Sus scrofa: one gene and its partner. The protein of the gene in region 1 interacts with the protein of each later gene in a pairwise test. Links are inferred from orthologs where the notes say so. Each region holds a gene or a part of one and is shown in the gene's direction. Other genes may lie near its edges.

Region 1 (3,651 bases):
GAAGGCATTGTAGAAATGGCCCAGGGCATAGAATAGCGGCCTAAAATAGGATCCATTCACCTTTGTATTGACAGAAAGTCTCTGGCCTATAAGTGACATCTGCCTCAAAAAAAAAAAATCAAGGCTAAATCAAGCTGGCGATAAACAAAAGGTAATTTACTGGGCCATACAACTTAAAAATCCAAGGTTAAAACTTTCTGTAAACTTAGCCAGATCCATACTTCTAAACAATGTGATCAGATTTCTGCTCCTCTCTTTTCCCAGCACTTTGTTCTGTTTTTCTCTTTATTGGCCCCATTCTTGGCCAGACTTTGCCCACATGGTGGCAGCAAGGTTGCCACCATGTGGGCAAAATCTCAGGCTTTGAGGATTCTTATTGGGCTGAATTGAGTTGTATGCTAAAGGCAAGGGATAGTCTGGCTCCACTGGATCCTGGGGGAGAGGCTGGCCTTGGCTAAATCACATGGACTTGGGGTGTAGGGGCTGGGCATCCTCCAAGGAAAACAGAGGAAGGAGAATGGATGCAGAGAGGGAAAAAACATGGACTGGCAACCTAAGACAAGATGTGCAAGAGTACATCTCTGTACTCTGTTTCTTTAGCTGAAAAGTGATGATACTGATAATGATGGTACTGATTTCTCAGGATTGGCCCAAAGAATAAATAAATGAATAGAAGTGGAAAACACCACAAATCTAAGCATGCAATTGCCACCCAATAAATTTAACCAAATCTGTACTAGACTTCCCTGTTGGATCAAAGACTCATAGAGCCAGAGGGGACCCTGGAGATCAGCTAGTTCAAACCCTACCCCCATCCCTCTATTCTCTAGATTCAGAGGAAGCAGTGAGTGAGTTTGGGTTGAGTAGCTTGCTCCAGGTCATGCTGTTTAATAGATAGCTGATCTAAGTCTCAGACCTAGGATTTTGGATGTCAGTACCAGTGTCCTGGCATATGTTTTTCTTCCACAGTCTGATACCTTTCTGCATGACAGTCTTTTTTTCTTAAAGTAAAAGCAGTATATACTATTTATGGCCTTATTGAGTGTCAGGCACCATGCTATTTTCCATATGTAATTTTACTCAGTCTTCATTACAGTGTTATTAGGTGGGTAATATTATTACCCCTGTTTCCAGTCAAGGAAGCTGAGGGCAACATTTCAGTGTAAGTGGTGGGAGAGAGAATTCATTCTGGGCAGTCTGATTTCAGAGCTGGTGTTCTTGAACCTCAATCCACGCTGCCTCTAGTAGACCGAGTTCAAGTTCCTTGAGGAAGTAGACTAAAATTCATAAAGACTTTTATAATATTGCCTACAGTATTGGCACTTATTAATTTCTGGTAGGTAGACTGTGTGCTTAAAAAAAATAAGACAGAATTTTGTAAGGGTTCCTATAGGAATAGCATACCCTGGATTTTCTCAATCAGAAAATATTTTCTCTTTTATAGACTTAGGAACAGAATGAACTTCATATTTTGATAGCTTTTCTTTTTTTCTTTTTTTTTTTTTTTTAGAAATTTGAGATACAATTCCAGGTAGTGAAGAATGGAAGACCAGGAGTATTAGGATATGGGTGGAAGTGTGTGTCAGTGGGGAAGAGGATGGGAGGCAGGAATGCTGGGACACATTGGGAATTCATTCTTGGTAGTAACTTTTTTTTAAGCTCCATTTCTTTCATATTAGTCTATTACCACTTAGAAATAAGAGGTTATAGCACATTAGCCCCTTGCCTCATTGGAATTGTGTTTGTTAGTTTTTATAGATGTCATCGTATTTGTATTATGTAAAAATACTTCTCTAAAGTTATGATTAGGAGTTCCTGTTGTGGCACAGTGCTTAACGAACCTGACTAGTATCCATAAGGACACAGGTTCAATCCCTAGCCTTGCTCAGTGGGTTAAGGATCCGGCGCTGCCGTGAGCTGCAATGTAGATCACAGATGCAGCCCAGATCCGCTGTGGCTGTGGTGTAGGTCAGCAGCTACAGCTCTGATTCAGCCCCTAGCCTGGGAACCTCCTATGTTGTGGGTGCAGCCCTGAAGAGACAAAAAGACAAGAAAAAAATAAAGTTTTGATTATGGATGGGTAAGTAGAAAATTCAGAAATTTTACCCCTCACCCCCAAATTTGTCTTGAGTACTAGCTATCAAACACTTATTTGTTTCTTACAGTCATGACAGTATTTCAGGCTGCCCCGATATATCTCCATGTGCCAGCTGATGATCTAGAAAGGAGACCTCATTCGATTCCCTGGCCATAGATAACTGCATTCCTGACCAGCTGAAATGAAAGCACAACTGAGACTTCTTTCTCTTGGTCCACAGGACTGTCACTGCAAGCAAAACAACATGCAGAAAAAGCCAAAGAAATACTCACCAACTTCATCATGCCTGCCTACAGTGACAATACAGATGTTTTCAAGTGTTCGGTTGAGCTGTTCCATACCATGGGGAGAGCCTTACTCTCCCTTCAAAAGTATCCTTTTGCCTCTCAGCACTAATTTTCAAGGTGAAATCGAAAGGTGACAGGTGACCCAGGAAGGGTGGTGGGGAGTATGAGAGCCAAGAGTGTCCTGGAACCGAGGCCCCAGAAGGTAGCACCAAGTGTCAAGTTTCCTGAACACAACTCAGATTTAAGGAAGCTTCAGAAAATTTGACAAAAGCTGAAAGGATTTCGAAAGAGCTGCTGCAGTGTGGAAGGATTATAAAGGAAGAATGGATGGAAATTCAAGCGCGGATCAAATTGTCATTTGCACAGTGAGTTTCCAGTTTAGGACTTTTTGTATATGTGATGCCTGGGAGTTCCTTGCCAGAAGAATCTGTCTTCAGGCAGGAGGAGCTTCACCATGCTGTGTCCATGGACTCTCCATGGCCATTGTCCAGGAGTATGAAAGGGAGGACGATGGTCATGTCAGAGCTGCCATAAGTAAGACACATGTGTCAGTGGCACTGCTCCATAAACATGTAGAGCTCTCATATCCACCCAGTCCTAGAGTTCTCATGTCGTTTGCTTAACTTTCTGCTTCTTGCCTGAGCTCCTTGCCTCTCCTCCTACTTCCGTTCCCTTCCCTCCCCCCCACTCCCACTCTATTCTGAAATATTTCAATACACTAATCTTAAGATTAGGGCCTCAAAGGAGAAAGATCCTAAAGGTATCTGAATCCATGAGGATGAGAGGATTGTTCCTTGTTTTTCCTACCCCCACCCCACACTCACCAGGTAAACTCAGATGGAAGAGATACCATGCTTGGAGCCTGGGGAGAGGGGGGTGGGCCTCAAGTGTCATCACATTTATCCTTCCCCAGAGGTCCCCCCGCCCAAGCCAATTCCCCACAGCAGTGGAGTGACAGAGTCTGTGCACACTCTTAGGAAGGGTGTGTTTGTGGGAGGAAGAGGGCAGAGAAAAGTCTATTCTAGGAAACACAAAGAATCCCCAGCAGACCAGCATGGCGTCCCTTAACCAAAGCTGGAAGAATTGAGTGTAACTTAAGAATCAGACTGCATGCATGGATTGATTCCCAAGAGAACTTGGGGACCCACTAAAGTCATTTTCAGAAGAAAAGGGCCCTGAGAGGATGCACCCAGGGCTTCCATGTGAATAGAGACTGGGGAGGACTAACTTTGCTTCATGGTGTTAAAAGATGTTTGGTAATCATAA
Region 2 (3,751 bases), on another chromosome or scaffold:
TCCCTGTCAGGCCTGTTTGGCCACCCTATACTGAGAGGCATTCTTGATCACCCAGCCTAATGCCCCTCCTCTAGTTCTTCCAGTTACTTTGTAAGCACCTTCTCTCCATTACATCTTTTTCTGCTTAAAATACTTGAATTGGTTTCTATTTCCTACAACTGAGTATAACCTGGTAAGAACATCCATCTCAAATCAACAGCTAGACACTACAGGTGTTCCTGTTCAAGTTAGGAATAAGACACAGAAGTTAGTTATTAAAAGCATTATTTAACATCAATTTGGAAGTGCTATTTCATTATTAGTCAGTACAATGAAGTGAGTATTGCAAAGAAGATGGCAAAATTGTCATTATGTACAATAAGGTGATATGATTGTCTACCAGGGAAATTTGAATGAATAAGCTAAAAATAAAAACTATCAAGGAAGTTCAGTGGGTGAATCAGTTAAGAATTTAACAAAAAAAATCAACAGCTTTCCTATGTAGCAATGATAACCATTTAGAAAATATAAAAGAAGAAATAATCTAGTCTAGTAGCAAAAAATGCATAAAGTAACTGGGAAAAATAAATTAATAAATTTAATGCAACTTCCACGAAAATTCCAGCTTATTTTTGAACTTGGAAAATGTTATAAAGTTATCTGGAAGAATTAATGTTCAAATATAGATGAAAAATTCTGAGAAAGTATGAAATTCTGGGAGTATGTCTTATCTGCAACTTTGGGATGATTCTGCAAAAAAGAAAAATTGTTTTTACCAACCTTTACATACAGATAAAGCACATTTGACAAAAGGACAATTGTTGAACTGTTAAGTCTGAGTATTGGGTAGTAGTGTTCAATTAGAGTATATACTGCAATATTCTTTTACATACATATTCACATATTGTATATTTGGAAATTTTTAAAATAAAAACTTGGAAAAATTAAATTATATATGAAAGACTTATTTACCTCTCTTTTCTTCCAGTATTCTGTGTTTGAAAAAAATCACATGTTATAACGAAAGGAGAAAAGAATAATTTTCAAGAAGAATCTGATCATCAGGATAATTTTAAATTCATAAATTTGGTGTATCTAAAAGATCATTTCGAATGACAGTGGTTTTACTGCAGATGGAAGCTAGAATACAGGGACTGAGACTTGAGGGCCCAGAGGAGTGGCCACTCCTTAGATAAATCCTAGGTTTGTTGTTATTTTTGCCTCTGTTACTATGACATCACTGGAAATCTGGAGTTACTCCTACTCTCGACCTCACAGAACTCTCGCGATACCAGGCCCTGGTGGAGCGGGAAATGTGGTGGGAGGGGCCGGGCCGAGATCGACCGACTTCCGGCCAGGCCGTTGTCTGGGTGGCGCGGTCGAGTCATCGTTGGGCCTCGCCGCTCCGATCTCCCGTCCCTCCCCCCCCGCCGCAGCGCGGGGGGTCGACCAGCCAAGTGGGGGCGGGAGGTGACTCCGACCTTCCCCTTCACTTCGTTCTGGCCTGCACCCCGGCAACCTGCTCTGGGTCCTTGGGACCCGCGAGGCCCGGTCTGAGGGGCCGGGGCCTACGTGGGCCCGCTGCCGGGCCCCATGAGGCATAGCCTGACCAAACTGCTGGCGGCCTCGGGCAGCGACTCCCCAACCCGCAGCGAGAGCCCGGCGCCGGCCGCGACCTTCTCGCTGCCCCCGGACCTGAGCCGGGCGGCGGCGGAGGACGAGGGGACGGCGGCGGCCGGATCTCCTGGCCGCAAACAGCCTCGCGGAAACGAGGGCGAGTCGGAGGCCGGGAGGGGGGGCCGCGGCGGCGTGGCCGTGCGCGCGCCCTCGCCCGAGGAGATGGAGGAGGAGGCGGTCGCCAGCGTCCCCGGGGACGAAACGGAGGACATGGACTTTCTGTCCGGGCTGGAACTGGCGGATCTGCTGGACCCCCGGCAGCCAGACTGGCACCTGGAGCCCGGGCTCAGCTCGCCCGGGCCTCTCTCCTCGTCCGGCGGAGGCTCGGAGAGCGGTGGCCTGTGGCGAGGGGACGACGACGACGAGGCCGCGGCCGCTGAGATGCAGCGCTTTTCTGACCTGCTGCAGAGGCTGCTAAACGGCATCGGCGGCTGCAGCAGCGGCAGTGACACTGGCGGCGGCGAAAAGAGGCGGAGAAAGTCCCCCGGAGGCGGCGGCGGCAGCAGCGGCGGCAACGACAACAACCAGGCGGCGACAAAGAGTCCCCGGAAGGCGGCGGCGGCGGCCGCTCGTCTGAATCGGCTGAAGAAGAAGGAGTACGTGATGGGGCTGGAGAGCCGAGTCCGGGGTCTGGCAGCCGAGAACCAGGAGCTGCGGGCCGAGAATCGGGAGCTGGGCAAGCGCGTCCAAGCACTGCAGGAGGAGAGTCGCTACCTACGGGCCGTCTTAGCCAACGAGACCGGACTGGCTCGCTTGCTGAGCCGGCTGAGCGGCGTGGGACTGCGGCTGACCACCTCGCTCTTCAGAGACTCGCCCGCCGGGGACCATGACTACGCGCTGCCGGTGGGAAAGCAGCAGCAGGACCTGCTGGAAGAGGACGACTCAGCCGGAGGAGTGTGTCTTCATGTGGACAAGGATAAGGTGTCGGTGGAGTTCTGCTCAGCGTGCGCCCGGAAGGCGTCGTCTTCTCTTAAAATGTAGGGTCAAGTAATCTGCTCTTTATCCGCGTTTACCCCTTTCAACTCCCTTACACCATGTAAAACACCTTAGTGGGACATCTTCACTGGACACATTTCAGAGGAGGAAAAAAAAAAAAAAGTAATATTGAATCTTTAAGTGTTTAGCTAAAAGCATGAATGTGACACTGTAACCAACTCCTAATGATAACATGTGACTATTAAATCTCTCTGACAGTTTCTTTTTTAGGTGATTTCCTTCCTGCCAGGCTCCGTTGTAGGGGTTACAGAACAGTCGTTCCCGCCTCACAACCTGGTAAGGATCCATCTCTTCACGTAACGCTCATGCTCTGCTGCTTAGTCTACTTTAATGGGCAACATCTCAATTCGTGTGTGTGTGTGTGATTTTTTTTTTTTTTCTTTTTTGGAAGGTGGGAGGGGAATCTAATTTGGGCCCTGTCCACCCTGGAAACAGACTTGTGCTGGTCAGTAATGTATTCAAGATGCTTCTTCTGGTTGAAATAGCTGTTAATGTGTCCCCTTGTTCAGACTTGCGTGTACCTAGCTCTTCTGTCCCCAGTGTGGACATGGCCTTGGATGACATCGGTTCCAACTGTACACTGAAAGCTGCTAATAGAGATACAGTTTGGAGACAGTGACACAGGTGAAGTTGAATGGAAGTTCCGAGTTGTACAAGGTGCAAATTGGAATTCCAATTTTAGAGCAACTTTTCAGAGGTTGACAATAAGTACTTGGGGCATGCACAAATGTGATAGTTATTTTGCCGGAGATAACAGAAATCTCTTGAATAATCAAGAATGCCTTTTAGTTTTCTTAGGTCTAGACATACAGTCTATTCAGATTATAGGTTTTTATATCACCATTAGAGAAATTGGAAATTAATGTGCACATCAGACTCCTGTGTTGGTTAATTGAAGGGGGAATAAGCATGGTCAATGGAATGTCTCTTTGAGGACCAGCACAGTGATTATCCTATCACTGAGTATGAATAAATTGTTGAACACCTTTATTTTTGTTGTACTAAAATTTTAGGTTAAATTTATGTATGATTAGCTATTGACGGTTATGAAATGTGAATGAAAACGTGTAAAGTGAGGTTTCACAAAGAATCTTATTTT

The links.
Region 2: the proteins of TTC23 (region 1) and CREBZF interact in binary tests that used the Homo sapiens proteins (3 or more experiments, as listed by UniProt). The two-hybrid records come from large-scale screens. The link is inferred for Sus scrofa from reciprocal best matches to the Homo sapiens genes TTC23 and CREBZF.

Annotation. Positions count from the first base shown.
Region 1 is NC_010443.5:137,966,134-137,969,784, reverse strand, and holds part of TTC23 (tetratricopeptide repeat protein 23), read left to right. Parts: intron 1-2,318; coding exon 2,319-2,469; intron 2,470-2,624; coding exon 2,625-2,750; intron 2,751-3,651. UniProt on the Homo sapiens protein: Participates positively in the ciliary Hedgehog (Hh) signaling.
Region 2 is NC_010451.4:19,592,623-19,596,373, reverse strand, and holds the start of CREBZF (CREB/ATF bZIP transcription factor), read left to right. Parts: upstream 1-1,259; 5' UTR 1,260-1,572; coding exon 1,573-2,633; coding exon of another isoform or gene 2,634-2,637; exon of another isoform or gene 2,638-2,850; coding exon 2,851-2,866; 3' UTR 2,867-2,928; intron 2,929-3,751.